Lepisosteus oculatus: one gene and its partners. The protein of the gene in region 1 interacts with the protein of each later gene in a pairwise test. Links are inferred from orthologs where the notes say so. Each region holds a gene or a part of one and is shown on either strand. Other genes may lie near its edges.

The links.
Region 2: the proteins of RNA-binding protein with multiple splicing (region 1) and ammecr1 interact in binary tests that used the Homo sapiens proteins (3 or more experiments, as listed by UniProt). The two-hybrid records come from large-scale screens. The link is inferred for Lepisosteus oculatus from reciprocal best matches to the Homo sapiens genes RBPMS and AMMECR1.
Region 3: the proteins of RNA-binding protein with multiple splicing (region 1) and serf2a interact in a two-hybrid assay, tested with the Homo sapiens proteins (2 studies listed by BioGRID and IntAct). The two-hybrid records come from large-scale screens. The link is inferred for Lepisosteus oculatus from reciprocal best matches to the Homo sapiens genes RBPMS and SERF2.
Region 4: the proteins of RNA-binding protein with multiple splicing (region 1) and sf1 interact in a two-hybrid assay, tested with the Homo sapiens proteins (3 studies listed by BioGRID and IntAct). The link is inferred for Lepisosteus oculatus from reciprocal best matches to the Homo sapiens genes RBPMS and SF1.

Annotation. Positions count from the first base shown.
Region 1 is NC_090696.1:69,304,880-69,312,967, reverse strand, and holds the start of RNA-binding protein with multiple splicing, read left to right. Parts: upstream 1-4,791; 5' UTR 4,792-5,256; coding exon 5,257-5,319; intron 5,320-8,088.
Region 2 is NC_090703.1:35,398,480-35,406,504, reverse strand, and holds the start of ammecr1 (nuclear protein AMMECR1), read right to left. Parts: upstream 3,398-8,025; 5' UTR 3,287-3,397; coding exon 2,847-3,286; intron 1-2,846.
Region 3 is NC_090700.1:52,440,762-52,448,580, reverse strand, and holds the start of serf2a (small EDRK-rich factor 2), read left to right. Parts: upstream 1-4,572; 5' UTR 4,573-4,667; coding exon 4,668-4,674; intron 4,675-6,447; coding exon 6,448-6,556; intron 6,557-7,819. Other genes in the region: fkbp16 (FKBP prolyl isomerase 16), read left to right, coding at 400-486. UniProt on the Homo sapiens protein: Positive regulator of amyloid protein aggregation and proteotoxicity. Induces conformational changes in amyloid proteins, such as HTT, driving them into compact formations preceding the formation of aggregates.
Region 4 is NC_090713.1:21,525,088-21,533,600, forward strand, and holds the start of sf1 (splicing factor 1), read left to right. Parts: upstream 1-5,380; 5' UTR 5,381-5,424; coding exon 5,425-5,501; exon of another isoform or gene 5,502-5,658; intron 5,659-7,541; coding exon 7,542-7,975; intron 7,976-8,513. UniProt on the Homo sapiens protein: Necessary for the ATP-dependent first step of spliceosome assembly. Binds to the intron branch point sequence (BPS) 5'-UACUAAC-3' of the pre-mRNA. May act as transcription repressor.

The DNA of each region.
Region 1 (8,088 bases):
TTGTTCTCTCACTATTTATTGAGGAAGGAAAATGCTGTCTTTTATGCCCTAAAGATGCATTTGCTTAGGTTGCTTGGCAAATCAATTTTAATGGGTTAAAAAGAGCTTCTGCAACTACTACAATATGGTAGGTTAACCTACTGCCCCTGACAATAATTAAAATTTAACTGCTCAAAGTCATGAATAAAAACATCATGTTATACCAAATTGCCTTGTTTAATAAAGCAATATTACATTGCATTGTGTATTGCATTGTTAAAGGACAGGCATTTTTTATTTACAGTACATCTTACATTTATTTCGTTCTCTTTAAAGTTTCTAAAGTTGCAATTTTCTAGAAATGTCACTTTTTTATTTTAATTACAACATTATGAATACAGAGTGCACCAAAAGAGTAGAATGACCAGTGATAGAGTACTGCAAGCATCGTCATTCTAGGACTCATCTTCTCATCTTATTATTAATCTTCCTATTCTTCATCTTTTGCGCTTTCTGCATCTTCTACATTTGGTCATCTTTTGCAGAATAGGCATCAATATGGGTGCATCAATAAGGTTATGTAGCAGGTGAGTATTGGGAATGGAAAATGGTACATCCTTTATCTTATACAAATCATCATCTGGAGCAAAAGGATTTTATTCTTGTGGTAATCTAATAATGAAGAAGGGAGCATCTGGTTTAATGCTAATGAAGTTCAATTGCCATTTACTGTACTGGAAATTATCCCTCTAGATTGTTGCCAGCCTCTGTCTCTGTAGAATTTTGTAGGCTTGTAATCCAAGGGAATATAAATTACCAGCCATATACCTAAGAACAAGGATGGAGTGAAAACTATCATATTACAGATCAAATGATGGGGACTGTGCCAACATGTGGGTCCTCTTTCCCTCCCCTTAGAGATCAGGACTGTAAGAATATTCAATCACTACAAATGACACAGAACCTTTGGAAATTTCTCCACACATTTTCTAAGGTCCTGAGACATACTATGTCATGATCAGAATCCCTCCTCTTAAGGGCGCTCCGGCCCTTTCGTATTTTAGTAGATTATGTGCACCTGCCCTCTGTTTGTCCCTCCTTATTTAAGCCGGGCGCTCTCGCTACTCCTGGCTCTGCATTGGAAGACAGATGCCTGGAGAACCACTTACCATCAAGTTGTCCTACGTCCACGGCTTGAAGGCGTAGGCTTCCTAACGGTGTCCTGACCAAGCTGAGTCCGGGGCTCGGAGCACCCGGCCTCGTTATCCAGTTTTTATCTTCCTGGTTCCCTGACCCTCTCCCTGTTCTAGATCCCTTTCCGAATTTTAACTGTGTTTGTTTTGTCCTGGATGGATTCCCGTTTTGGAATTTGGACTGCGCCCCGGATTCCCCCATTTGGACTTCCCTGAACCTGTTTGCCATCGCCACGCCCCCACGAGCAATGGATCACCGTAGTCACACCCTCCTGTCTGTCATCCCGTCTTGATCCTCTTCGTCTCCTCCACCAGATGTCCTTCTCCAGTTCCAGATTATACCGTCTGCATAGGGTCCTGAACTATGCTTCACGGGAACTTTGACGGGCTCCCGTTACATACTCTACACTGATTCTGAACACACAATAATCTACACCTGGCCTACAGTACCATGTCAGAAATGCTGTTTGAATTCAGTACTGCTGTTGCTTGATCAGATAACTCTGATCAGATTACTTAAGCAAGTCCTATCTTTTCCAAATCCATAGTAGTTATCCTTTAGAATCCTAGTGCTTTACAGGTAATCCTCTATTTTATTTGTATTTATTATCATCATAATCTTACATGTCATAAACATAGGCTTTATTGGATTAGATTATGGCACATAACTGAACCAATTTGAAAGAACAAGAAGCAAATCAAGAGCATTGAAGAGAGTTCACAAAGACTTGACCCAAAAGCTCGAAGAAGCTGTATTGGCCTCATTAGTCACATTCAGAGCCAAAGACGACAACCATCCTTACTTGCAAGGGAAAGCCAATGAAAATAAAAGAAGGAATGTTTCACATGATTATCTCTGAGAAAACTGTTTTCCTGTTTTTTTTGTTTTTTCTTTTTACCAAACTGTACTTTTTAATAATTTAATCAATTCTTTCATAGTCCTCATATTTTACTTAATTGATTATTTAACCTAGAATGTTTTTTGGGTCAAACTCAGAAATGTAGTTTCTAACTAATAAATCCACTCCATGTGTTTTTGTTCAAATTTAAAGCAAAAGCTGTACCTTCATAAAGCTCGTAACTTCCTGTAAAGAAAGCAAAGGAGGTTCATATCAGGATTATTGTTATTTTTTAAAATGCCATTCAAAGTCTCAGAGAAATCTTTTTGAGAAGCCTCCTTTTGAAGTTAGAAAGAGTTAAAAGGCAAGGTAGCATTTTGCACTTACCTGCTCTAGGATTGCAGGGACAATAAACAAGTGTAAACCCATGTTGTTGTTTTATCTTGCAAATATGATTAAAACCCAGTGAGTTGTAAAAGCTGTAACTGTATCTCTTCTCTTTCCTGTTATATTTTTCATTTCTTGCTGTCCGTCTTTTTACAGATAGTGTTAGTTGAATGGACTGGCTGGAGGGGAATTCCAGTCTCATAAATTGCCAAGTTATCTGGTTTTCACTGATCTGCATAACCTTAAATATGTAGCAAGCTTATCTAGTCAAATGCCTCAACTGTCCAAACACACTTCAATAGTTATGTTCCTCGTCGGTAGTCAAACTACCTCTACAAAATGAGATGCAGTAAAAATGACCAAACTCTACATCCGTACTACTTCCAACACATAAGAGTAGGCTCTGTGTGCGTCCATTACTACTGTTGGTTGTTAAAATAACTGTAACTAGTCAAGCAAGAAATAAGTTTTCTAAATCCATGTTAAACATCCACTAGAACCCACAATTATACAGCTAATCAACTAGTTTTGTTTGGATGACTCTAACTTTACAACTTTTAAAAGCTTTATCAGATCTTCCAGTTCTTTGCTATGGAACATGGGCCAGCATTTGCCATACAGGTGTTAAAGGCATTGGAGATGATAATATGAACTGGTGACGGAGTACATTGAAACATGTAGTCAAACGTATTTCAATTATACCCTCACTCAATAAGGAGGGTAGCTGGTAGTTTTTGTGGGTCCATTGATCAACTCTCTGATCCCTGATCTTGAGTCACAATTTCCTTCTGGTCTGAGGGATTCGGTTGTCTTGTAGCAGATTTCACACACGTTCACTGTGTGTGTTCACACCAAGAATCTCCCACACATTAGTTTCATACAGTATGTGTTTACTAAGTGTGTTTAAACTAAGACCAGTCTGGCATCACTTTTAGTGTATTCTAGCTGAGCATACCACTGCATTTGTGCATTTAGAATGCCACTTGCTCTCTAGAGCACTGTGGAGTTTCTGGTGGGTCAAATGTCCGTGACAGATGGGTGTGTTGGAGGTGTATATACAGAATTACCATCCATTTCCTAACTGCTTCTTCCAATTCAGGGTCGTGGGGGAGCCAGAGCCTATTCTGGCAAGCAACAGGAGCTAAGCAGGGTTCACCCTGGATAGGACACCAGTGCTTTGCAGAATAGACAGACACACGCACATTCACATCAGGACCAATTTTCACAGAAGCCAGTTAACCTAATGGTATGTGTCTGGACTGTGGTAGGAAACCTGTGCATCCAGAGGAAAGCAATGCAAACATGGGGAAAACACACAAACTCCATAGAAATAGCAGATAGGTCTGGAATTTATCCCAGAGCCACAACAGTGCAAGGCAGATATGCTAACTACTGTGCCGCTGTACTGCCTTCAGTATATCCTGCAAATTGGATGAATATAAAACAAGAAATGTCGATTGTAGTTTTAATTATATATGAGTCCTATGGATTTAAAATATATATATATGGACCATCATTGCAAAGTGCAATCTACTTTACAAGAAAACCAAAAGATAAGCGTATACAGGACCAAAATGTAGTGTACATAGACATGCCTGGTACTGTATCTCCTTTGACAGCAATCAGCTGATGAGCTGTTTCCAAAGATAAAAAAAGCAGGTAAAAACGAAAAGGTGAAGCCTACAAAGAAAAAGAAAACTTTTGTAGAAAGTATTAAGCATAGTGATCATTGTATCAACTTTGGCCTTTCACAGTTTGAAAATCTTGGCATCATTTAAGTAAGACTGAATAAAGTTGCAAGTAGCTCCAAGACAAACTATTGACTTAAAGATCCTGAATGAAGACTGCTTGGACAGAGCTATACACGATATCTCAGCCACCCAATTATTATTCAATTAAATGTCAAGGGGGATTTGAAGGAAGTTGTTCCTGCCAGGAAGCCTATGCACTTTAAACTGCCTGCATCAAACAAAGGAGAAAAAAATCAAGAGACAATATCAACAACTGACTTCCTCCGTATTACATACAGTATTCCTTATTTTGCATAATGTATGCTGGTGAGCGAAAGCTGTTTCTGTCTTTTAAATGTAGTTTAGGCGCATAAAAATTTCTTTAAAATTAGAACTAAAACACATTTTAAGACCCGTGTTCATTGTTTAGTATCTATATGCCTACTTGAAGTGCGTATCACAACTGATCAATAATCGTTTTGTATCGGGGTATAAGAAAGATTGCGCTGATACAGCTACATGAAAAATACCCCCAAAAAACCTTCTTGCTGGTTCTCGCTCTCTTTCTTAGCATATCTTTTTCAGCCTGAAGCGCTCTTCTGTTTCGTATCCTTATTATCAAGTTGCGTTTTTAGAAACATTCCTAATGGCTTAAGTGGAACACAACATACAGTACGACCTGCCCCCTGTTTCTCTGTACCCAGCCTCCCAATGAGAGAAAGCTTACTTCTGTCGGGATCTGTCTGACGTTCTGGCCATACCAGCAACAAAAGAGAAATGATCAGGTTTTCTTCACACAGCAGTCAAAGTGGAGTATTCTGGAGACCTAGGAATTGGAGTTCATAGGCGTCTTCCCGGAGTAACAGCCTGAAGTGAAACTGGCAGGATTCCCTGGCACCCAGACTCTGAGACCCTAGTCGTTTCTTGATCTTGGTTTCCTCGTTGTTTTTGGCTTTCTGGTTTCCATTCAACGCCGAAGGTCTTTGATGTTGACTAATTGAAGAGATTAGCATTCTTCAATTTCTGGACTGTATACTGAGGGTCTAATCTGCCTCCTGGATATCAACTGTACTGACAGCTGGATCCTTAAAAAAAAGCTTACATAAACTTGAATTCGGGCTTTACAAAATGAACAGCAGCAAAACTGAAAAAGAGAACGAGTTAAATGAATATAACAGCCAAGAAGAAGAGGTAACATTTGTATTTCAATTCCTTCTATTCGCGACATATTACCATTTTTCCATATAAAATAGATCCCGGATAAATCCCGTGAGAAAACTTTTAATACATTTTGTTACTTCCAAGTGTCTTAAGGTTTGTAAGACGTATTAATAGTACATACAGTGTGCACTCGGGCTTTAAAGCTGATGCACTCGAGATCAAGTACTTCGTGTACCCTTTTCGAAACCGAGCTACTGGATGTTGACTTTGAGAAGTTTTGGTCCCGAAATTGTGAATGGAGACGCGTATGTTGCTCTCATTTAACTGGATTGGTAGTTGATCCAATACTAAAGCACCCACTAATCCATTCATCAAATCACTGTATACAATATATGATTAATTAAATCGTATAATATATTGAAAACAACCAGTGCAGCATCGTTTTAACAAAGAGTTCGCCTGTTTTCGACCAAAGAAATGTGTGTTAATCTTAACCTCACTATTAACAATCAACATTTTTTAAACCAAATGTTATTACATTTTGCAGGCGTACGCGTTTGCATATTAAATGTTTGATCGTATATGAACGCTGAACTAGATAATGTATTTCCAATAGTTTTTTATTGCCAATATCGAACCGCTATTTCTAATATTTATAATGTACTTCATTCAATACTATGTCTATTGTTCAAAAAAATCTTTCGTCGTAAAGTTAGTTTTATACTGTATAAAGGTTTTTCAGTTTTCTTTACGTACCCATGTGAATACATAAATCGCCAAGTTTATAAACATATTTAGAATTCATCAAATAAAATTCATCATCAGCACATGATGATATTAATGACTGGTGTAACTGGTTTACCAGTTTTTATTATTGGAAATTAATGCTTACTTGAAGTTGTTAACAAGTGCATTTCAGAAAAGCAGATATAGAAATTAAGTTATTTTTTTCTAAATTGGGGTTGCAGTAGTATTTGTGTGTAGGTTAAAGGGTGATTAAAGTGTGTTGCTTCTATTCAGAGACTGCTGTGACACTGCAGAGACAAGCTGTGTTTGGGTGCGCGCATAGAAAAAAGACGCGATAAAGGGTCACATTCATGAGTCATGTGCGTAGTTCATAAATCAGTTGATTCAACGACGGCTGCCTTCTTTAACACCTCCACCTTCAAAGACATATTCATTGTCAGATATCATTTAAAAAAGTATGACAATGAGTGTAAATAACATGCTTCTTCTATACTGTAACTATGGAATGATGTCCTAATGTCAGTGCACACAACAGCAATCTCATTGCCTTCAACTCCTCAGATTGGAGACTGCAGACCATCTTCTGAGGCCATAGTCTGCTAAGGTCATGGTTTCGGAGATGGAAGAGGCTGGAGACATTTTTTAGGACATGGAATCAGTTTGTTCGTATTCTGGAGTGTCCTAATAACCCATTTAGTTCTGATGCTAACATAACTTCTATCTGATTAATTTCTTTGGACTATACTGTATGTCAATGCAGACATCACAGATGTATGTTCTCATAATTGAATCTTCATACGCCAAGACCGCAGGTGGTTCATTTAGACAGATGTTGAACAACAAAGGAGGTTGTACATTCCCCTTATGGGAATGGGACAGTTGGGAATGGTTGCACTTTCTCCAGAACATAGAGTTTACAAGTGAGGTAGTGGTTTCCCATTCATTTACTGTGCTAAAAGGTTCACAATCAACCATTTGCTAATTGCTAGACAAGATTAGACATTCAGGTACCTCAGGTGCCTCATTTTAAAAGGATTCGCACATTTAGTGTACTTACAAAATCAACAACACGGAGAGCATCTTCAGTCAGTCTGAATCTGAGCCTGAAAATGCAGTGTAATCCACAGACATGTTTATACTGACGATCGTGGAGATCGAGAACAATTTCATCAACAATATTAATGACGCTGACTTTGCAAGTGAATTTTATGAAATGGTTTGATGGGGTTATTAAATAATTAAGGTATTTGCCAAGTGGCCTTCCTTAAAACCCAGAGGGGATTTGTTTGAAACCCCACAAAAACTGAACATCCATAGAAGTAAGAGTATACTAAGAAGGAACAAGCGATAACAGTTTTTATTCATCAAAGTGCCAGTCGCAAATATCACATTTATTAGTCGATTTAGAACACAGATGCACATTGTGTTAGACTTGCAATATCCCAGAAGCTGAGATATTGAATCCCAAAAATGAATAACATTTTTCATATTCTAACAATGTCAGTAGGCAGTATTTTTAGATTGTCTCTGTATTTTTTAATTTGTTCTTAGTGAATATTTGTTCTTAGTGAAAACATATATTAGTGAATATTATTAAAATTCAAAACTATAGTAACTTATCAGTAACAAAGAAATGAAGCATACACTTAAAAGTCATGAAATACATATTTTTCAGACAACTAAATTGTTACTCAGTTTTGTTTTAATAAAAATGTACCCTGAACAATAAATATACTTAATAAAGAAATACATGTGATTCCATGTTCAGGTTCAGCAATCTTAAAATGAAAATTGTGGCCACAGATTGTAGGTGTTGACATCAAACAACTGATATAAAAATCTGTAGAAATCATACATTGTTTTCTTCAAACATCTCCAATGATGTTTTCTTGTCAGGTGATGTACAGTAGAGATTCTGTCACATTCAGCTTTCAGATGTGCGATAAAGCCTATAATAAAAGATCTCAAGGCTTTTTGGGATTTTCAGATTTTTTCACATGAAGCACACGTAGAAGTTATTACAAAACAAACAACAGATTTAATTCCAATGAA
Region 2 (8,025 bases), on another chromosome or scaffold:
AGAGTCTTCCTTTTATGTATTAATGACTGGGTATACATCAAACTATTACAAACACAAGAGAAAAGATTTCAACCATCAGTTAACCACATTTCATTTCTAGTGGGAAGAAAAATACATTTGTGCACTTTCCAGACTGGAATAAGGTTTATTTTCTTTGATAAATATTTCCTAAATCCACATAAAGCATTCAATTTGTTTTGGGGTATTACAACACTGTAACGAGTAAAAAGTTGATAACTTGTGGTATCTAATGGCACTGTCCCATAATGCCCCAATGTGTGACATCAGAGGTTCACAATGCAGGTGAAGGTCTGGATTTAGTCACCATGGCAGTTGTCAGCAATACTGGGTAACCCAATGAGAGAGGTGGGACTCAACAATACTTTCTTCTCTTTGGGGGCACTCCACCCAAGTGCTAATGTTAAAAACGAATTGCAAGTTCAAACCTACTCCTTCCTGCTTTCATTCAGACTACATTTGTTTGTGTACTTTTAACTAATGTTAAATGAAAGCCTTTCAGCATGTACTAAAATTACCCCTCAATGAAAAGATATTTAGGCCTATTAAATTAAAGTGGGAATTTCGATAAAATAAAAAACCTTCTAGTGAAAAAAATCAATACTGTAGTAGAGAAAAAATATCAGGCCAAAACAATTATTTTATTAATCCTGCCCTGTCTTTCTGCTCTCCATTTTCACATTTTCATGAGCAGTTTATTAATGTTGTGTGTTTAACATTTTTCTAGGATAAAGATTTAAAGACCAAGTTTACAGTGCAACACTAAAGATTTAACCACAATGTAATCAAGCAAATCATTTTAATACTCTACTACTGGACATCATAATCTCCCCTGAGATTTGATGCAGCCATTTAATTAACCTTTGCATGAGGCTTTGAACACATAAATAAAGGACTCATACAGAGCACAAGACTGCTTCTGTAACAAGTATCTCTTGAAGGTTTTCCATTTGTCTCAGGGATATAGAATCCAGAAATTCTGCAAGCCACCCACTCAAGAAATACAAATTGTAATTTGGGTATTTTAACTGTCCAAAGCTTCATATACAATATGTATGTCTAACACTGTATGTACACAGTATATATGACCAGTACATTAAAAAACATGCACATCAGAGCTTGCTTTTGTGGGAATTGCAAAAAAAAAAGATACATACTAAGCCAGTCAAAGATAATAAACACACCTTAGTTCTGTATAAGAGGTTCAGAGGTAATTATTTTATGTGCAAAGTAAAGGAAATGTAATTCAATAACAACAGCAGTAGCACAACAAGGTCAAACAAAGACTGCATAACCCTAAATGATTTCTGAAAAGATCTTCCTTCAAAGTACGCTTTGTTATTTTCTAGGTTTTCATTACAAGAACAGTGGAAGAAATTTACGAACAGGAAAGGTTTGGCTGGTAAATAAAACAGTGTTAACGAAAAAAAAAACCGTCGAAAAATTAGACAAAGAACCAGCAGCGGACTTCCTTCAATTATGAAGCTAGGACTGTATGGAGTGTCCTGTATGTAGACGTATACAATACCGTTCCGAACAAAGAAAGTGTTTAAGCAGCTGTCTTAACTTTAAATTATTTTAAAATACGTTTTTCCCCCCATCTAATAGTATACCGTGGAACTCTTAAAAACTAAAACGAACACACTCTCCCACGAAGCTAAAGACAAAAACCGAAGACCTTAATTACCCTCCGACCTAAAGAAAGTGATAGTAGTATATCCTCATAGGCCTATATCAGCCATATTTATGTTCACACACAAAGCAGAGCACGGTATACTTCAACAAGCAGGACTGTTACACTTAAAGATGTACGATCAACCGGGGATATACGCCTGTTTGCCTGTGTTGGGGGACGAGGGGTGTCACTTCGTCATTCATTATTAAAAACACAGGATTGACACAGGAAGATCCGCAAGAGACTCAATACTATTCCAATACTCCCTTCTTGGTTTACACAGGCTACATTTTTGCAAAGATTCATTTACAACAAACAAGGAAGATCCTTGCCTAAACTGAATATGCTACTGACTCCTTTTTTTACTCCTTTTCAACAAAACCTAGTTGCATATTTATACGTAAAGTACATTAAAATGTCATTTGCAATTCGGTAAGGTTACACAACCATTTGTTCACAGACGATGAAAGACCATCAATGTACTAAAACACCCCAGGCTCTGCAGCAGACACCGAGTTGTACCTTAACTTGAAATTTACATTTCATACATTTTTAAAAGAAAGGTATTTTCGCACACCTCGAGGTTGGACTACACAACCTGCGGTAAGTTACTACTTCAGCGATGAAGTTCAAGCACAAGCAATACTAGCCATCGAAACAATTAAAACCAATTCCAAAAAAATCAAGCTTCTTAATTCTGGGTCGAAATTAAAAATCAGGAGCGCCCGAGTGACACCTGGAGAACCTCGCTTTGCACACCAGCTCTCTCGACGCAAGTTTATTGATGTCTCTCTTCCATGTTCAAAACCGGTCGGCACTTTAAAAATAAATGAGTGAGCTACTCTGTTTTGAACAGCAGACGGAGAATAGCCCCAGTAACATAACGTGTCTGTGAATCACTGCCTTGTCCTTTACCTCACACTGACCAAGAGCTGAACACAAAAACTTTTGGAAATTACTCCGAGAATGAGATCTCCAACTGCTGGACAGGCACGCGTGCGAGGAAGCATACTACTACCACACTAACCACGATACTCCAGTCACTTTAAGATAACACAGTTTCGTGTTGTGTGTGTAGAAATGAGGTTAATCAAAGCGAAAGGACGAACACATCAGGAAATAACAAATGCATGCTCGCAGCTGGGGTACTCACTAAGGGTCGTTTGTAAACCTGGGTGTCCGGGGAGGCTGGTATCCGTATAGATGACAATAAAGCACGTCGAAGCAGAAGCAACACATCTCCGCCGAAACAACCATCTTCCTGCTGCTGCCAGAGCCGGGTCCGGGGCTGAGGTTCGGGGAGAGGCCGGTGGTGTTATAGCCTCCCGGAGTTGGGGACAGCGCGCTGCTGTTACTGCCACTGCTACCCCCGGGACCCCCCAGGCCGTTCACACGATTCACACTCCCGGCCGCCACCGCCGAGGAAGAGCCGATTCCCAAGTCCGAGCCGCAATGTCCAGTCCCAGCTCCCCCGCTCCCCGCCCCGCCGGGACCCCCCGACCCGGGGGACCCCGACAGCTTCTGCTTCTTCACCCCGCAGCACCCGGCCGCCATCTTGGAACAATCTGCTCCGACACACCGCTTCCGACCCATCGCCGTCACCGCGGGAGGGGCGGGGGGAAACGCCGACCAGACGTAGAAATCCCACTGCGTTAACACGTAAGACGGACAATGCTCCACCTTCTCTCTTTTTCCAAATTTAATACCCAGCGTAGACTACGTTAAATTTTCAACTCCCAAACAAGGGGGAGGGAGGGGGACGCAAGGAAAAAAGAGGAGGGGGAAGACTGCAATGTCACCCGATCCTTTTTCTCTTTTTTTAAAGTGACGTACCTTACGGAGAATCCTTACGCTGTTTTCTTAAGAGAGTCTTCTGCCCACCGGACTGTTGCAAATCCACTCCTTCCACCGGACCCAGATAATTCGACAATGTGCAGGCCCCAGTGTTTTGGACAATAAAAAAAAGATGAACGACCGCGTTAAGAACAAGCTGCTCTGCTTCCACGAACCAGGTAGACGCAGACCATTTGGCACTCGCTACGATATCTGCTTAAAAGGACAGCAGCTAGGTGGTTTGGTAGAGAGGAATACTGCACTGTCAGCACAGAGGCAGCGATCCTGTTTTTGTGTGGGAGTGGGGCGACTGAGCGCGCAGGACCCACACGTTTCAGCATGAATAACAAGTAAGGCTCCGGATGAGATAGCTACCACACACCCGTTGTTCACTTGCATCCGAACTTCTTTATATTTTCACGAGTTCAGGTCCAAGACCCACTTGATGCGAAGTCCAAGCGGTCTAAAATATGCAGTTTATTTTCACAGCATCTGCAACGTGCTTGTCATTGTTTTTAAAAAAATGTAGCTGCAGCTGGATTCCACCTGCTTTTTTCAGTGCTCTGGACGTGGTTAGCGTTTTTTATTAAAATACCACAGCGTACAAAGCAGACTTGGAAGTTTACTGTAGCCCTGTGGGAAGGATGTCATCAGTTTATTCTGAGTCATTTTTGCACGACATCCTAGTCCGCAAGGCAGAAGTCCAGCTCTTTCCACTCTATCTCCTCATCCGGCTGGCAGGTCTGGATGCTGCCCGTTTCAACTGCAGTAGAAATGTGTCGTCCGACCATCCGAAACCTCTCGCACCTTTTTCTTACTGGTTCCACATACACAAAAAAAATACTATTCAGGACGTATTTTGCGATTAATTCCTACGCATAGTACGTAAATTCTCTCGGGTCATCAAATCTCTGAACCCTGCGCGCTATCTGCGTACAAAGAACAAGAGAAAAAAACTCCATGCAGTAGTATACAGTACGCTTAAATTGACAGCGCTGGCTGCGTAGAGAAGACCATTTTTATATCCTTTTATTAAGATCGGTAGCACCCTCTGATGATTCTGTTCCAGTCCAAATCCTAAAAGAAAGAGAAACAACGAATTATGAGCAATCAACGTAGAGATATTCGGCTGCCCCTGGTTTAATGAATTCTGTTTTCTGTATTGAGATGAGTCTGTAGGTAGAGCCAAAGCAATTCCCCAAGCCTAAATAACCCACAAAAGAGTAACGGAGGCCGTTTTAATGTGGTATGTCATCCTCTGAGATTACAAAGCACGGCTTTAAAGCTACAGTGCATCGCACGGCTCCTCGGGATGTCTAGTTTTTCACGCCTATACAAACAAATCAATGAAAATTGGAGAATGCCTTAAGGGCACTCCGCCGGAAAAATGCTGTATAATTAAAATTTTCAAAGCGAACTCTTCTACAACAAACACTCACCCTCCTCCCCACCAAAAAAAGATTTTCAAGTACTGCATTTGCAGCATTTCTGAAATCACTACATTTCGTTATAAGCTGATCCCGAGTCCATAAACAAGGCATGTCATTTATTTGATTACAATGTTACTCAAAGTGATGTCCTCGGTCTACTCCTCTTGACTATTCTCCAATTGCAATTTCTACCAATTAATTTGCTATATCCTATCAAAGGCATCTGTAATTTCTGCAACAAGTTCCCAACAACTTGGTCATTACAAACCCCATTAGACTTCGTAAGAGTAGGGGTGTTGTTAACCCTTGTCTCCCCGTTAAAATTGAAATCTAAGCTTGCAGTCTGGGCTACCTATAAAATCCAATTCAGTATGTGCAGTAATGCTTGACTCTACCTGACTTGGTGTGTATTGGGCTTTTGTGGCGCATCACAGATGTGGTTGCTGTGCTTTAGTGGACGAAGAAGTGAGTCCCCCTCCTAAATGAAAGTGTTTTGGGATGAAAGACTACTAACATTAACATATGAAGTGTAACCAATTGTGTGTAACTTCCATTACTATTGTTTTGAGAAAGGTACGCCAAGTGAGAGTGCATGGAATGTTAGTAACTCCTGGGAATTCATTCTCTTAACACCCCAACACCTCTTAAAAGGTTCAGTTCCGGATTTCAACAAATGATTTTTTCACCTAATGGCAATTATTAGAAAACAATTCTTGAAACCAGACTTTCAGAGGAACTTTGTAACTCATTATTTAGCTTATTTGAGCTCCCAAAAGAAATGACTGCAATTAGTTAAATATCATTAAAAAACTGAGACGTTGATGACAGATTGAGTTTAAAACCAAAACTTAAAAAAAAACATGATTCTCTTAAAACGACTTAAAGGTATTTAAATGACCTGGGCATTGAGGTATATCTGAATTACCTGAAATCAACACCTGTGGTGTTTAAAGATGAATAACTGATAGAAATGCATTGTAGCAGCCACAACTCTCTGCAGAACTGGGGGACTAAGGCAGTCTGACATAAATGACAAGTTGTAGGAGCATTATAGATAATTGGATCCTGTGTAATCAGTGTTGATTATTAGTGGCTAAATTCTTTGTGATTGTTCTTTGTGTACAAGTGTTCTAGTGATCTAGAGTCATTTGAGAGCAGTGTTTATTTGGTGTGGATGGGAGTGGGCCCTGCCTAGCAGGACATACTGTACTCTTGCAAGGTGGTGTTGGTGGTAGGGGTGTCTTGCTAGCAACAAATGCAAACATAGTAAGGAAACCTTCCAAGAAACAAGGGCAAAAGCAGTAATTGCATCACCAAGTAATGACAAACCTATGTGACTATTGTAAAAGCAGTAATTGGTGTCAGGAAGGAAGACAACTGTGGTGGTAGTATTGCCTGAGGTCCTAGTCTGCCAGCTCCCAGTGTGTAGAACAGAAACAGCAAAAGGACCTCCAGACTACGGCCTGGCCACCTGGAGCACCTGCGGGGTAACAGTGGGTGCCAGCGCCCCCATAAGGAAATCCAAGCTTGCCAGGCATCCTTGCTTATGCCAGCCACCTAAAGTGACAGTGGCATCAGCAGCAGCAACAAGTGTAAATGCTGGCTAGTAAGAGCCCGGGATGATCTGAGTGTAAGTTACCCTGTGGTGGACAAAGCCATCTAGCTGCTTCATGTCACCAGCGTTAAGATCTCTAACCTCAATGAGCTGAATGAGTCTCCAGTGCCAACAAGCCAAATTCCTGAGCCAAATCCCTGCATCTGATGGAATCAGGCCATCCACAGAGAACTGTGTTGATTATTTTGACAGATCTGCACCTTGGGAGTCTTTCTGGGTGCAGTTTAAACTGGTGGTGAAGACTAAGGCATGCAGATTGTCTCTCAGCTTTGGGCAGGACTACATGGGCCAGAAAGTTCTTCTAAATCAAGAGGGGAAACATTTGATTAACATTTAAGGATCAGAATCTCTGTACTCCCACTAGCACTGATTCAGGAATGTAGGCCCCTAATGCTTTGTCGTCAACAGGACTGGGGAGGGAAAACCCCAGGATCTTTTGTTGCTGATTTTGTGGTATCTGTCAAGGCAAAGTTACTCTAATCACCTGTTAAAATTTGCCCCCATATCCTCTTCTCAGACTGTACAAACTAGGGTCAAGGCCTGGAGCAGGCTTTTCAGATCAAGGCTATTTATTTACACAGAGGCCTCTATGATAAAGTACAGGGACAGTCAAGACAACAAATTCTGTGTGAAGAATTTTGCCACTTCCAGGTAGTTCTTTTCAGCCCAACAACCCCTTTAACATGAGGCTGTGCAAGTCTCATTTGTAGGATGGACCTGTAAGGGAAAAAAGTGTTCACATCCTGTGTAATCAGGGGAATTTTTTTTTTTACATAATTTCCTCTGTTTTCCAGATCCACCCAAGGATTGCACCAGCAGTAGAGGGGAACAATCGTAAGCCCTGGGCAGACATGGGAAAGAATAAGGATGTGGACAGGACGGTTGCTACAACCTACATTGGGCAGGGAACTCTGGACATTCCAGTCTAGGGTGTAATATTCAGCTTGCATTATGGTTGACAAGGATGCATCCTCAGCCATTTACTCACAGCAGGGGAGAAAGAGATTGGCCTGTATCTGTTTCAGGTGTTTCAGATTAACCTATTTTGGCAATTTGCTTAATGCCTTGGCCACCTTTGAGAGACTACTTACCCAAGTCGGTCATCTGCTTCATATGTGAACCTACAACTGGTGTTTCACCATATATTGGTGGCTGGATTGAAACTATTCCTAGAGAGGTGTAACCCCTTCCAATGTGAAGGGTGGTTCCTGCCTGGGGCACATAATGGGACCAGAAAGAGTGTGAGCCCAGATAAAGTTGCTGCAATAGTCTTGGTTGTTCCCTACTAAGACCAAATCAGTGCAGAACTTACTGGGACACGTGTCCCTTTACCTGTGGTCTGTTGAGTTGGTGACTGTCTCTGGTTCACAACAAAGGGGGCTTTCTTAGAGTGGATGGAACAACCATTTGTGTATGTGGAAATTAGGGGGTTGATAGTACATTTAGACCAATTA
Region 3 (7,819 bases), on another chromosome or scaffold:
AGCAGTGAACCAGTAGGTGGCACTGTTCCTGCTGCTACTGCATTTCCCAAATCCTGCGCCCACTATGGGACAGGGGACACTGTGCAGTGCTGTCCTTAACTGACCTAATCATTAGCTTGATTGGACCAATCTGACCCATTTGGAGATTGAAAGAACCCTAGACAAGCTCCTGGCTCTTGACGGCAAGGACTGGAGGATTAACCGAAGTCTGGAAAGTTCCCAGTGCAAGTAATAATGGGGCTGATAACCCCAGTGTGCTGGCTAAATCCCACCCCAGGCTGTACAGCCTGCCCTCCCTAAAGTTCCCCCTTAATTCAACAGGCGGATTTTGCACTTCAATCATGGATGAACTGGGTTTCTTCATGGATGTACTAAATGATCGTGTTTCTATCTTTTCAGGGAATTCCTTGGAAGTGGCTGCTTGGGGCTCTGGTAGTAGCCATCGGTTGTTTACTGACAGCAATGTTCCTGCCAGGGAGGAACTAACAGCACCTGTTTCTGAGGCACCACAGCACCAGCAGATCTGCCTAAAGAAGTGTCCAACACAGATTTGCAAGGCTTAGGAGCTCACTGTAGCAGTTAAATGAATGTTCTTCTTCACATTCTTCCAATGTGTAAAAGGACAGCACTGGAGTCTGATCATATGAAAGCAAAGTAGATGTAAGAAGTCATTTTATAGATACATTTAAAAAACTGGTAGTATGTCAGCTTATACACAAACAATAGTCATGCAGTTTTGCAAGCAGATGTAATATACAGTATGGAAGTGATGGAGAACCTCACAACATCTGACTGGCTCATGAGCAGCTCTCACACACCCACATTACAGGTTGAATTATAATAGAGGTGGCAGTGTCTGGATTAGCTGCTGACAAAAGAAAACGACAGATTGATAGAATATCACACATATGCAAAATACATCGGTCTAGGGGAATAAATAACGATGACAGAAAAACTGAGTAACCCAGCGCACAGATCCCAGATATTCTGTCAGATGAGATGTACTGTACAATGACTGGACATCTTTTTTAAACGCACATTTAAAAACGTGACAAAGAAATGTTGGGAATTTATTATCATGCCACCAAAACGTAATATCCTGCCTGCTAGTTTTTTCTTCTGTGGCACCTGGATGAACAGACTGCACTGATGAATAGCACAGAAGAAGCATGCCATTCCAGGCCAAACTGGACTTGATGATCCTGGGACTGGAAACGGCCTTTCCAAAGGACCTCTGCTGCGAAGGGAATTTAATGGAATAGTGTAGCTACTGCCTTTGGGATGGAGGGGGTGTTCCCATCCCTTTCCTCACCGTGAACTCAGTGAAGGACTTCCAGATCCCTCCTGTGTCCCAGGCCAGGACAGCTGAGGAACAAAGGCACATCCGTTCCAATTCATTCAATTAGAGTACACCGAAGACTGACAGGCTGACTAATACCCTCCAGCAATGTTCCCTCTAAACTGTGCGCAAAATCAGTGCACATAGGAAATTGAACTGCGCACAAAACATTAAATTAAAACGGAATTGTAATCATTAAACACGGTCGTCAATTGAACAAAACTCAATTGACCACATGAGACTGGCTGCGAGAGGCGCAACGTGGCTGTGTGCATTACTATCGCTACTCGATCACCGATATCAATGGTCTCGTACCTCACTGCTCATGCTTGCTCCGAACTCTCTCTCTATGACTGGGCTCGTTGAATCGCTGTCCCGGTCGTTTGGATCTCTATGCTTCTATATCAACAACAAAAATAATTTCTGGTTTACAATTTTACATGTACCCAATTTAGTGCGCAAAAGCTTAAGTCACTGGGGAAAAATTTGCACAACTTTTTGATTTTTTTGCACACACAAGCCATTACAAATTAGAGGGAACGTTGCCCTCTGGGCTCCAAATTCTGACTTTCTATTGGTCCCCATTGAGCTTCGTAGTTCGTAGTGCTCTTGCAAACTACAGAAACTGTTGTGACAAGATATGCAGCTATTTGTTTAATTATAGAGAGCATTTCCTTCATATGATATTAATACAGAGATTAATTAAAGCATTGTAGTTTTCTATTGTTTTGATACTTCATCCTGTCTGTTTTTTTGAATATATAAATTATAGCTATTTGAAGCTGCTCTTGCCTCTGATTATTTTCTTCACAACATTTTTACATTTAGAATCAAAGCACGTCGATCACTGACTATTTCTTACGGTTTCCGTTTCACGTTATTAGTCTCACGGGTGCTTTTTGATGGCACCCGACGAGAGGTACAGTACGTCTTACTTCTATCAAGTCGGTCAAAGTAATTTTTAGGATTACGTAAAATTATAACTAAAATTTCGCTATAGAGTTAAGGAACTAAGAAGTTTTATTTCGACCACTGGGTGGCACTCGTGTGCCAAGATCTTACTCTACTCCGTTTACTCTGTGAGATACTCTGTGAGCCTTATGGAGATAATATTGATGGTCTTACCCACTGTATCACTGACTACATAAACTTCTGTGTTGACAGTGCAATGCCCACCAGGAAAGTGCGCTGCTTATCCAATAATAAACCCTGGGTCACCAGTGATCTGAAGGCCGTCCTAAATAGGAAAAAGAGGGCTTTCCAGGCAGGTGACGAGGAGCTGAGGCGAGCACAGAAAGAGCTGAAGGTGAGAGTTAGGGAGAGCAAGGTGGCTTATGGGAGGAAAATGGAGGACAGGTTGAGGGAGAGCAATGTGAGAGAAGTGTGGAATGGCATGAGGAAGATCTCTGGATACAAGTTGTTTGGCGCCCAGCAGAGTGAGGGATGCCTGGACAGGGCCAATGAGCTGAATCTTTTCTTTAACAGATTCTATACAGGGTTCCATACAGTGGTCCATTCACCTCACAGGCCTTCATCTCAGACACCCTCTTCATGTCCTCAGTCACCCCATCATGTGATCCCTCCTACTCCTCCTACTCCATCTTCCCCTGCCCTCCTCGGCCTATCCATCACAGCTGACCAGGTCAGAAGGGAGTTGAGGAGACTCCATGCAGGGAAGGCAGCGGGTCCTGACGGTGTCAGCTCTAGGGTGCTAAAGATCTGCGCAGACCAACTGGGTTCAGTGCTGCAGTACATCTTCAACCTGAGCCTGAGATTAAAAAGTCCGGTGCTCTGGAAGACATCTTGCCTGGTGCCAGTACCCAAAAAGGGGCACCCTAAAGTCTTGAATGACTACAGACCAGTGGCACTGACATATGCATATTGTTATTTTATTGTTTTTACAGTGACTATGAGCATATTTTGCACATACCTATGTATTTATTTGTATTTATTTTATATTTATATTGTATTACTGTACATATTCTAATTTTTCATATTTAATCAATTTACCCTCGGGATCAATGAAGTCTTATCTATCTTACCGCACCAATTTAGCACATACTGTAGGTGGATTTGTCCATCGGACAGACTGACAGTGATGCCTAAAATTAATAATCGGTTTTTGACGTGGTTGGCGTTGTTCGCTAAAACTGAATCTGTCGCAATTAACAGAATACAAGTTCAATACAGTATCACTTATGAAGGATTGGGTTCTTTAACGCAGAGTTGTAGCAAATAAACTAAATTAAACTGACAATGGTCAATTGAACGAGTTATTAAAACGAAAAAAATCAAATTTAAATACTATGCAAGACAGCATCATCCTGAAGCTCTCTCAGGTTCACATGGGTATGTGCCCTCACTGCTGCCAGCTCAAGCCAGCCCCCCACCGTTAGGGACTCAAACCCAGGCCTCCGGCATCACTCAACATGGACCCAGCCAATTAAGCTAACGGGAAAACTCCCGTCAGTTTAGCGGCTGCGGTCCCTGCTATCCACGTCATCGCGCTAGTAAGCCAGCTCGAACAACCTGCAATGCTGGCAGTATGCGTTTCAATATTCAAACAAGGCAAAAGCCGAGTAATTCAGACGCCCCTTCCTAATTTGACTGTTTTTGTCCGTAAAAAAAGGGAGCCCAGTTGACCCTCAATAAACTCTCAGTGCATAAAATGATGAATTTCTGTTCCACATGATTAAATTCATTAATCTAACGCCAATGATCGAAGACTTCAGCCTTAAACGGTGGTTTTGGAGGGAGTCCCCACCACCTGTAAAACGCTTTGAGTGGAGTGTCCAGAAAAGCGCTATATAAGTGTAAGCAATTATTATTATTATTATTATTATTATTATTATTATTATTATTATTATTATTATTATTATTATTATTATTAAACACTATGCTTTGAAGTGAAATAAGAAAGGATAAGTACAAGCGTTACAATAAGCACATCAATCCAATCCAGCCTTCAACACGATATAAAACGTAACAAAAAACTGTATTTTAGTGTAAATTACATTTTTTTATTTATTATAGTGTAAATTACATTTTACATACTATCGTACCAGAACAACACAGCCAGTTTAAAAAACACGTCCTTTGACACTTGTCGAAAGTGGCCAATCAGGAGATCGGTGAATATTCAGGAATGCCAAAAGCTCGACCAATCAGAATTCAACATTTAGTGCCAAGGGGTGGGAGGGTGTGCTGAGTGAAATCTCGCGTTGAAGTGACGTCATTTAGAGGCTATCAGTACAGAGGAGGGAGGCAGGTAGGAGAGAGAGCAGCCCGGAGGGTTCGCTACTTGGAGCGTGGAAAAGACCATCTAAAAATGACAAGTAGGTTTCTAAACGTCTGTTCCTTCACGTCTCTGCTTGAGATACACGCTTCGCGTGTCTGTGTTTAGGAAGATGTGATCCGGTGGCGATTCAGCGGCGCTACAGTGTGACCGACAGCTCAGGGAGGCAGGCGCTAGGCCGGAATGCTGTTTTGCGCTATATATGTTTTGTTACGTTTAACTGTGTCGCTGAATTAATTAAGGCCATAAAATAACCTTTTATGTGGGGTTCAGTAATACGAGATGCGGGAAAATAGTTCAGAGGAGGGCAGGGAGGTATGTGGTGTGAACTTGTAGAAGGGGTTTGGTGTGTAACTTGTATCGTTTTCGCTTTAGATAGTTAGGCAGAAGTGTTAACAGCCAACGACTTTACTTTAAGCGGTACTGAAGGAGCTTAAAATTGTGTTTTGTATGTCCTGACATTGAAAAAGAGCACGGGTTATGGCTGGAAATCGGTTTTCTTTGTCATTACTGCATGTAGCTCATTGCCATCAAGTGGGTGGGCTGGGGATAAGTTGCTCGTTTTGTGACCCAAGGACGGTCGTTACAGCTGTTGTAGTTTTAACTCCTCCACCGAATGGGGTCGTTAAGAAAGCGCCGTGTTCGGGAGCAAAGGAAGGGTGTTTTGTTATTGTTTTCAATGCGCTGTCAGCCATGTGAGCTCTAGAGCGCCCCCTTGCCACGTCGCCGGGCTGGTGAAGCTGGTGAAGCTGTCCCGCTGTCGCCCGGCGGCCCAAGGACCGTCAGACTGCTATGTGGATGTGGACTTGTGTTGTATAAATAGACTCCACGTCCTTAAAGTGTGTGCTTTGTGAATAACCCTTTGAGGAGGATAGAAAGGGCAATGTTACTAAATCCTGTTAATGCAGCATGGGTTGCCAGGAATGTTTGTATGTCCCACAGTGAGGACGTCTTGCGCTGGAATGGTCGATTCTGTACTTTCACATGCGGGGAAGACTCATGAGTACAGCTAGTACAGAAGTATAGTAGCGTGGCGTGTTGTGAGCTTAACATAGTTTCTGCCGTTTCTCTGCAGACTTGTTCCCAGGTTTGAAAGGGTGACTCTTGTGTGTGACCCCTTTCTGGGTTCACGACCCAGCAGTTAAGTGTGTGGTAGTTCAGAAACTGGACTTTTAATTCGGTCATTCGTGTACATTATGCTGTCATTGATGGCGGGTATGAGTTGTCATGTATGGTGAAATACAGAACCATACATGAGTGGGTATACAACGTCAAATGTGGGAAAGCTAATTATTGCTACTGTATGTGCTCCCCCAGTTTGGCATGGTCAGGTTTCAGCTTCACATTTCAGCTTACAGTGTGAACCCCCAAGACTGCTCACGGGGGAGACTGGGGTAGTGGAGGCAGGCGCCGCTGAAGCTGAACTTCTCCACCACCTGGGGCGGAGCGTTGGCTCTGTGTCTAAAGATCTGCGCCTGTGGCTGGAAGGCTGCCGGTTTAAAATCCCGCGGCCGGCAGAGGAATCCTACTCTGTTGGGCCCCTGAGCAAGGCCCTTAACCCCAACTGCTCCAGGGACGCTGTATAAATGGCTGACCCTGGGCTCTGACCCCCAGCTTCTCTCCCTGTCTGTGTGTCTCTTGGAGAGCAAGCTGGGGTCTGCGAAAAGACAAATTCCTGATACAAGAAACTGTATATGGCCAATCGGATGATGTTATACCCTGTGCTGGGGAAGGTCTTTGCCTGCGGAGCCCCTCGTGGAGCCCTCGCTCACCGGCGGTTGTGTTTCTTCCTCATGCTGCCCACAACCTGCAGGGGGAAATCAGCGGGAACTTGCCCGCCAGAAGAACGCCAAGAAGCAGAATGAGCAGAGCAGGGGCAAGAGGAACGAAGACGGCCTCTCAGCCGCTGCCAGGAAGCAGAGGTATGCAGCTGTTGGCCTGCCCCACGCTCGAGGGCAGTACATGCGTCCTCTTATCCTCGGGCTTAATCTTTTCGGACTACAGTGCAGTAGGCTTTTGAGTACTGGTTCCCAGCCTGGTCCTGGAGATGCAAACCACCGTGTCTGCCCATCTTCATTCCAGCTGAGCTCTTCTTGCATCACCACTGCAACATGTCTTGCGTGGCGAGTTTTGGTTTGCGTGTTTCAGCATGCGGTCCCGAGTTTCAGAAATAACCTACTGCAAGCGTATTGCTGCCACTAGCTTTATCTGTACAGTCAAGTCATCTCTCCTCAAGTTTCATTGTTTATTACTGAACAGCTGCCACTCAGCTGATGATATATTTGTCATTTCTGTTTTGTCAACTGTAGCCCTTGTGAGCATTTTAAAAGTCCTTTATTGAGTTATATTTTGGGAATATACCCGAGTTTTATAGAATTTGTGTCATTCAGAAATTTAGTACCAAGTTGAAACCAGTTACAAATCCAGTTTGGTTCTAAAGAAGGTTAATATTCCATAAGCAGAATATTGACATCGGTTCTCCTGCAGTTTAAAAAAATAATCTGGGACAAATCACGTGACTACAGGCCCTACTGGAACAAAGTGAGGAACCACTGCTTTAAATTACCAGAACTTTGTGAATAGCTGTTAAAATGTCCAATTAAGCCAATAATGAGCTGATTTAAGAGAACAGCACAACTGGAAAGAAACCTTGATGATAAACTGTCCCTTAGGGCATAGGAAAGGAATTGCCTGTTTTCAGAGGGTTTTTGAATCATTGCCTGCTTTTAAATCTGAGAAAAGTATTAACTTGGTTCAGTGTATTGAGTCAGCAATTTCTACCTGATGCTTAATAGAAAACATCTACACTGTCATGTAGAATAGAGATCTGAGTTCAGCAGAGATGGGGCCACAATTCCCTGGACGCATTTTTCTCCCATTGGCCTTGATTACTTAATTGAACCACAAATTCATCTTTACCCATGTGACCTCCTTGAACTGTGGAAACTGTCTGATGTAGATAACTGGGTGAACAGACCTATATAAGAGAAGCTAAAAGGAATCACATTTACTTAATGAACCAAATTTAGCTGTAAAATGCATACGTTTGGAGAATGTTAGGCAACATTTTTTTTGCTTTTGGATCCAGAGCTTTGGTTTTAGATAATGGAAACTTCTGTTTTGTCAGTAAGCAAATTATGTTTTTATGCAACTATTTAACATGGGTGTCATCATTATCTAGACCT
Region 4 (8,513 bases), on another chromosome or scaffold:
CTGAGGCTGCTGCTGGGAGAGGTATTGGTGGGGCCAGCAGGGGGCGCTCACCCTGCGGTCTGTGTGGGTCCTGATGCCCCAGTATAGTGACGGGGACACTAGACTGTAAACAGGCGCCGTCCTTCGGATGAGACGTCAAACCGGGGTCCTGACTCTCTGTGGTCATTAAAAACCCCAGGGTGTCTCTCGAGAAGAGTAGGGGTGTTACCCCGGTGTCCTGGCCAAATTCCCCCCCTGGCCTTTACCCATCATGGCCTCCTAATAGCCCCCCCTCTCTGAACTGGCTCCATCACTCTGCCCTCCTCCCCACTGAGAGCTGGGGTGTGGGGAGCGGACTGGCGCCTCATCCAGGTGGGGGTACACACTGCTGGGGGTGGAGGGGATCCCCCTGACCTGTACAGAGCTCTGAGTGGAGTGTCCAGAAAAGCGCTATATAAGTGTAAGCAATTATTATTATTATTATTATTATTATTATTATTATTATTATTATTATTATTTTCAAACAGTCAAATGTGTAAAGACGATGATGCAGGATAAAAACCTGCTTCAGAGCAGATCCCCCCGGAGAGCATGCCAGAAACAACGCCGACCTCTGCCCCGGGGCGTGACCCAGAGGGTAGCGCAGGCGCCATACGCTGGACCCTGGTTCTAACTCCGCGGGCCCGAGCTGGCGTCGCGAGGGAGCCCCTCCTCAGTACCTCGGCAGTGACGGTGGGCTGCGGAAAGGAAATGGCTGTCCTGAATTTTTATAACGCTTGACTTTATCTGTCACATGAACTCTGACATGGGAATCATCCTTTTTTCTGTGAGCTGATGATGTGAACTACTGTATATATTGCTGCGACAGAACATCAGAAAAGATGCCAATAAACAATCAAGTCAAACACAAAAAAATGGATCAGGATTATGATATTGGCCTCTGCTACTTCAAGTAATGAGGCTTTCTTTTCTTGTGAGGCAGACGCCTCTTTTAAGATCATGAATCCCGTTCAGGATGTGCATTGGAACTGAAATTCAGGGAGAGCCAGGAAAAGTGACCATTGTTACCCTAAAATATCTCCCCGTCTCTAGAATGGGAACCCTGGGAGGTTTCTGCAGAATATGCTTGTCTTGAGTGGGGGTCACCTATGGCTGTGACCCCCTTAGATGAACACAGTCCCCTCCTTTCTACAAACGCGAAGAAGAGAAGGGTAGCCCATCGCAGGTTTCATTTCCCGTTACAGGGTGTGTTTGCGCCACTTGACCAGCAGCCCCACTTCCTCATTTCCCCCAAGCAGAACATCATGTCCGGAGAGAGAAAAAGTGTGACGGCACTCTGTTCTTCTGACTTGTTTACTTTCAAATGTGTGAAAAAAATATTTTGGTACTATTCGCAGATTCTCTTGTGGATGTTGCTGTCAATCGGGAAGTCTGAGCAGCTTGTGCGGATAAGTTTAGCTAACAGAGACTAATCCGGTATTGAGACGTTTTGTCTTCTGTCTGTGGTGCAGTATAAAGCTGAGCAAGCAAACTGCCATGTTTGTGGTTTTAATGTTTTACAAGAACGACAGTATCCTACAGCAGAGCTGTGGGCAAGATTAACCTTGCTCCTTAGGGCGACGATCATCTTTTTATTAGCAGATTTCTAAAGTTATGTTTTGACAACATTACGGGTCATGAACAGACTGAGGTTGGCGAAGAAATCGTTCCAAAGTGAAACAGTGGGTAGATAGTGCGTATATCCTCTTGTACTGTCTGACCACACACCCAGGCCTAACCAGAATGATGTATCTCACCAGCTACACTGATTTCTTGTATGTCGTATAACTAATATTTGCTTTTTTGGCCTGGAGGATCATTGGCCTGGCGATAATTAAGTCGTCACAGAGGAGACAAAGCATTTGGTTAAAAATTCTGACTGCCAAGATTAATTTGTATTTAAGGGGAGGGCAGTAATGCTTTTTTAGGGGAGATCAGACTCTGGTGGATCTTGCAGTGCATTCACCCTCCTTTGGGTGGCGCTGTGGAGCCAAGCAGTGCCCAGACCAAGGAAGGGCAGTGCGGGGTTGCATTCTAACTCAGCTCATAACGAACTGGATAGTTCATTACTGGCTTAAAGGGGAACTGTGAGGCTATTTTTATATTTTTAGATTAGAAAGAATCTTTTTTTTCCCCTCCCCATTTATTCTTCTCTCTGGACCTGTGTTCTCGGACCCTCGTCAGGTTCAAGAGGAGAGGAGTTTATTGGCATGAGTACATGCAGCCGGCCAGGAGCCATGTCACTCTGCAACTCACAACTGGCAGCCCCACTGGAGCCCAGCAGTGGGAGCCTGGCCAGTACCTGGAGGGGAGACTCCTGGGAGAGCTGAGGCTGCTGCTGGAAGAGGTGTTAGTGGGGCCAGCAGGGGGCGCTCACCCTGTGGCTCATGTGGGTCCTAATGCCCCAGTGTAGTGACGGGGACACTAGACTGTAAACAGGCGCCGTCCTTCAGATGAGATGTAAAACCGAGGTCCTGACTCTCTGTGGTCATTAAAAACCCCAGGGTGTTTCTCGAGAAGAGTAGGGGTGTTACCCCGGTGTCCTGGCCAAATTTCCCCCCTGGTCTTTACCCATCATGGCCTCCTAATAACCCCCCTCTCTGAACTGGCTCCATCACTCTGCTCTCCTCCCCACTGAGAGCTGGGGTGTGGGGAGCGGACTGGCGCCTCATCCAGGTGGGGGTACACACTGCTGGGGGTGGAGGGGATCCCCATTGTGTCTCATTGTCGTGTTCTGTTCTGGGGGAATACACAGTACAGCACACAACACCCCCCTACATTACACAGTGTATTACAGACATAATAAAATAATAATAACAACAACAATAAATAAGTTGTGGACAACAAATATGTAGTAGTGAGAAAACAAACAACAACAACAACATTGGGTATTGAGTCTGAGGCCTTGTTGTTAGCAGTAGCCGTTGAGGACGCGGACTGGGGCCTGAGCACGGTCTTTCACCTTGACATTACATGTCCGTTCACAGCCCGTAAAAAAACCACACGGCTCATCACTGAAAGAACCGGTCGCGGAATGTCACTTCAGGCTACACGGGGAGGAAACGGTGAAATTACAAGTTGATGTGCTCAGAAGGTGTCTCTCTCCGGGTTTTCTAAACCGTTTGGGGGGGTATTTTAACCCCCAAAGTAAAAAATCTTTTCGCTGGACAGCGACGTTACGTCGAGTTCACTGTCATGGTAACGCGCGTTACCGCTCAATCCCGCTACAGGGCCGTGTTTGAAGTACAACGCAGTATTGGCAGTATTAAAATTTAAAAAGGCGTACTCAACGGCTTTGATTGATCGCTTGATTCCCGGTCCAGATGGCAGGAGATTAAAGATAAAAAAAAGGCCACTGTCCCAGTCCTTAATCTTATCCCTATTTATACCCCTGTTGCGTTTCTGTGTGCGATTGACTTTTAATGCAAATTGTAACACGGGTCGCGTCACACTGCGTAGACGTTACCTCTCGAATCTCTTTTTTTAAAAAATAAGTTTTTTATTTAACCCGAAATACAAAAGAAAAAAAAGGAGACGGAATATTGAAATAGATACAGAAATAGACACTTCGCAGGCCAGAGGAATTCACAATTGTAAACACTAAACATTATAGCTCTACAGGAAGGCCAAGGAAAAGAGACGTCGCCGGAGACCGTGTTGGTGGTCCAGCCGCAATGTGGTAAAATTTAAATTTAAATTTAAATTGTCAATGCAACTCTTTATTGCCATGCCAACAGCTTTGATCTGCCCCCCCGTGGATAGAAGCAAGGCAAACAACAGAAAACACATATTACACTTATTCATACTTCTATCTGCAGCAATCAGGATATACCTATCGAGGAACCTAACGGGCTCTAGGAGAGATCGGTGCTCAAGACCGTAGGAAAGTGGTTGAAATCTCAGGTCAGACACTGCTGCTGTGCATTTAAGGGCGGTCGTACTGTGCGAACTGACTCTGGATCGTCACTGGAAATGAGAACTTGTTCACCGTACTTATCTGGACCAATACGAGTAAACCCGGGGGGCTTTCGGCCCCTGTTTGAGGTCATTTGATTTAAGATAGCTGACCGATCACTCCAGTCGTTTCTGGTAAGAAGCCAGGGTGTCGATTTCACCACCTTGGCTGAGCGGTTTGTTCCACACTCCTACCACCCTTTGTGTCCCCGCCCGTCCTGATCCCAGGATCTTATCAAGTCGTCTCTTGAGAAATCTCCAGGGTGTCGGCTTCAGCAACGTGACTGGGCAGCTTGCTCCTCACTCCCACCACCCTTGGTGTAAAGAAGTCCTTCCTGTTCTGTTTTAAATGGACTCCCACAATGCTTTCAATTGTGTGACAAGGGATTCTCTGTGATTTGCTTTTAGGGATATCCTTTTATTAATTTTTTTATTGCAACCACAAAAAATTGAATACACAGCCGTACATACAACATAATCACTGCTGTACACACCTGAAGAAGGCTCCACGGCCGAAACGTGTTCTTTTTCTTCTCTTTTCAGCCTGGAATAAACCTATTACTTGTTCCTTTGCGGCCTATGCCTGCTGACGCAGCTCCCCATCTTAACTACTAACATAATCAAAGGTACATGATAAGTTTCAATTTAGAAAAAAATACTAAACTAGTTAACGTCAATTCTTTCATGTACGTACGTGTAGAACTGGTCTGGAGATATACTCTGATGTCTGTTTTAAATTGTTCAAATATGGATCTCTTCCCAGACCATTTCATTTGATGTATTTTTTTGTAAACATTACATTTGTACAGTTTTTATTTAAACATCAGAAATAAAATGTATATAATAACAAGCAAGTAAAATGATTATGTCAATAACAAATAATATTTTTGTTTTTCTTTACAATGGGATTCAAATATATATACTGTATATGGGAAATCCCTTGTGATTTAACTCGATCTCACTTGCACAGTGCTTACTGCCCGTTAATCTATACATGAAATGAAATGGTCTGAGAAGAGACCCACCTTTGAACATTTCAAAAGAGACATACCTTTCCTAAGAGGGCATACCTTCAGATATAATTTCTAAATGTAAGGACATGAAACCGTATGTGCGTATTTTATCTTTATTGACTTTGTTTCATCTTGTTTCGTAAAGAGCAATCGTGGTATGCCCCCCCTGATTCTGGTATATGTATGCTTGTGTATACTGTATGCATTTTGTTTCTTGTTTTTGTTATTGTGGCGACGCTTTTAAAAAAAAGAAAGAACTTCCACCGCACAGTCCGCCATTTTGAAGAGCTCGAAGACCGCTTTCCCGCCCCCCGCTTTCCCCACTTCCGGCGCACGACGCGGCGTCAAGCGACGCACGGGCTACGTGCGGCGTACGTGCGCGGAAGCGACGCCATTTGCTGCTGCTGCTGCCGCCGCCGCTACTGCTGCGCCGTGGCGGATGTTGGCTTTGCTTATAACAGACCGAGCTGAGCGGGAGAGGCCATTTTTTGTGTGTGTGTGTGCGCAAAACTTAAGGTAGCTTTCTTTTTTTAAACAAAAATTCAGTCATTGAGGCCTCGTCTTAAAAAAAACAGGCATAAAACGGAAAGTCGGGATTTGGTTGCGATAGAGCCCCCCGCGATCGCCGGAGTCGTCTTGGAGCCGCGCCGGGAAAGAAAACGGTTTTGTTTTTGTAAGTGAGCGGAGGAGGAGGAGGAGGAGGGAGGGTGAGACGGGCTGAACCGCCGGTTTATTGTTTTCTGCGCTTAAAACGTTAGCATACTGTGTGTCCTCGGCCGCTTTTTGGGGGTTTTTAAAAGCGCTTCCCCCGGCAGGTAGGAGATGGCGGGCGCACCGCGTTAAGGTCGTCCGAGTTCCCTGGCGGGAGGGAGCCAGTCTCTCCCTGGGCATTGCACGCAGACAATATTCCACGATTATTATATTTTTTATGGCGGACGTGCGTTATCGTACTTAGGTGTTCAGTTGTGTGTGAGTGAATCGGGGGGCGGTAGGCTTGTTTCTCGCTGCCTGGGGGACCTGCCCCTCGCCATGAGGCCCGTGTGCCTCTGCTGCTGCTGCTGCATTGTTCTGGACCCGGAGCTTCACCGTCCACCCCGGTGCACCGGAGTCCAGCCGGCTTAGAGGGGGCTACGGCCGCTGTACCTGGGTCTGGGCGCGCTTGGTTAATGGGTCACTCATCGTCGCTCCTGATGGGCGATTTAAAGCAGAAATAATACTTGCACGGAATCCAAAAAGGGTATTTTCTTGTTCTGGGAAGATGCGCGGCACACGCAACTTTTCGCCGGCGCGCTGCTACTTTTCCTGCTGTTGGAAGTCTGTTCCCGGTAGATTTGCGCCCACAGAAATAGGTCAGGCCGGCTGTGTTGCACAAAGCTTGCACGATGTTGGGTGGGGGGTAGTTTTTTTTGGGGGGCGGGGGGGGGGGGGCTTATATCCGTTGGATCGCTCAGTATCGTGACAAAGGAGCCGGGCGAAATGGCCGGTCTCACCCATGCGCTTTTTTTTTTAAGCAGCCCGGCTGTCGGCTCCGAATAGTGTGGCTGGGTAGGCCTGTTCCACCCCCCCACCGCCCTTTGTGTAACGTGCTTGGGGGAGCAGGGACCTGAGCGTCCGGGCTCGTAACTGGAAGGGTGTGGGTTCAAATACCAGGCGAGACCCTGCTGTCGTACCCTTGAGCAAGGTGCCACACTCGGGGAAAACTCTCCAGGAAAAACCCCAGCTCCCATACATGGGAACACGTGTGTGGTGATTTGGATAAAAGCATCGGCCTGGGTTTTTTTTTTTTAAAGTCATTTGTCTCCCCTGGATTGTGTTTTGCTGGTGGTTTTAACGTTTGAATGTGTTCAGTTCACGTCTTTGTGTTTCTGTGTGTATGCGCGAGTTGTTGTGTTTTGATAGCAATGCGTATGACTTGTGTCCAGATAGTCCTCACCCTCCTGCGCTGTGGTGTGTATAGTGTTGGTGGACCAGTAGGAGCCGTTTTCCCTGCTGAACCAGAATTTCCCAGTAATTACCCCCTCCCGTATGGCGAGGGGACAGTGTGCCGTAGTAGGTGCCACTCTTCAGGCGAGACGTGAAGGTTTGGACCACTGGGGTATTAAAAATCTCAGGACTGTTGGTAACAGTAGGGTGTTTATTCCAGTGTCCTGGCTGAACTCCGCTCTGGGCCTGTGCAGTTCAGTCCCGATACATTCAACAGGCGAAGCAGTTTCTCTCCCCTCCCCATGATCTGCTGTGTCTCCCAGGTGGGGGCTGCCAGTGCAGAATGATCACTGTGTGTCTCCCAGGTGGGGGCTGCTGGTGCAGAATGACCACTATGCGTCTCCCAGCTAGGGGGCTGCTGGTGCAGAAGGATCACTGCGCGCCTCCCAGCTGGGGGCTACTGGTGAAGAATGAGCACTGGGCGTCTGTATGTAAAGCAGTTAGGGTTGAAAGGCGCTCTTCAGAGGCCAGGAGTCCCCTGCAGTTTATGCTGTCTGCTGTTTTGCAGCGGGGCTTCAGATCCCTGCGTTGGTCCCTAACCTCTCCCCCACCCCCCTGCTTCCCTTCCCGCAGAGCGCCAGAGGAAAGACTCACCATGGTGAAGATCTTCGTGGGCAACCTGTCGCCCGACACCACGGCCGAGGAGCTGCGCGCCCTCTTCTCCCAGTACGGCAAGATCTCGGAGTGCGACATCGTGAAGAACTACGGCTTCGTGCACATGGAGACCAAGGCGGAGGCCGACGAGGCCATCCGCAACCTGCACCACTACGAGCTCAACGGGCAGCCCATGAACGTGGAGATCAGCCGGGGCAAGGCCAAGGCCTCCACCAAGCTGCACGTGGGCAACATCAGCAGCAGCTGCACCAACCAGGAGCTGCGGGCCAAGTTCGAGGAGTACGGCCCCGTGGTGGAGTGCGACATCGTCAAGGACTACGCCTTCGTGCACATGGAGCGGGCCGAGGACGCCATGGAGGCCATCAACGGGCTGGACAACACGGCCTTCCAAGGTGACGAGCCGCGGGCGGATTGGGGGCCAGCTGCCCCGTAGTGCTGGGTTGTAGTCGGGGTCTCCTGGCCTTCCTATGTTTGTGGTCTGAGGGTGGGTAGGGGTGGGGTGTACCATCCCACAGACGGGTTGGGGGGGGGGGGGGGTGGAGGTGTGGAGCGTACCATCCCAGTGACGGATATGATTGGGGGGGGGGTGAAGGTCTGGTGTGTACCATCCCAGGGACTGGTGAGGGAGTGGGTGTAGGAGTGGGCCGTACCTTCCCGGGGGGGGGGGGGGGGGAGTGGGGCCTACCATCCTGGGGACAGGGGGGGAGGAGTGGGGCGTACCTTCCCAGGGACGGGGGGGGGGGGGGGAGTGGGGCCTACCATCCTGGGGACGGGGGGGGGGGGGGTGGGGCGTACCTTCCCAGGGACGGGGGGTGGAGGTGTGGCTGCAGCAAAACCTCCCCAGGTTTTCTCCCGTCGCGCTCCCAGCCCTCGGCGGTTTCTGTCCGCCCCCGGGATCGGACGGGGCCGGGAGGGAGCGGTCGAGGAGAT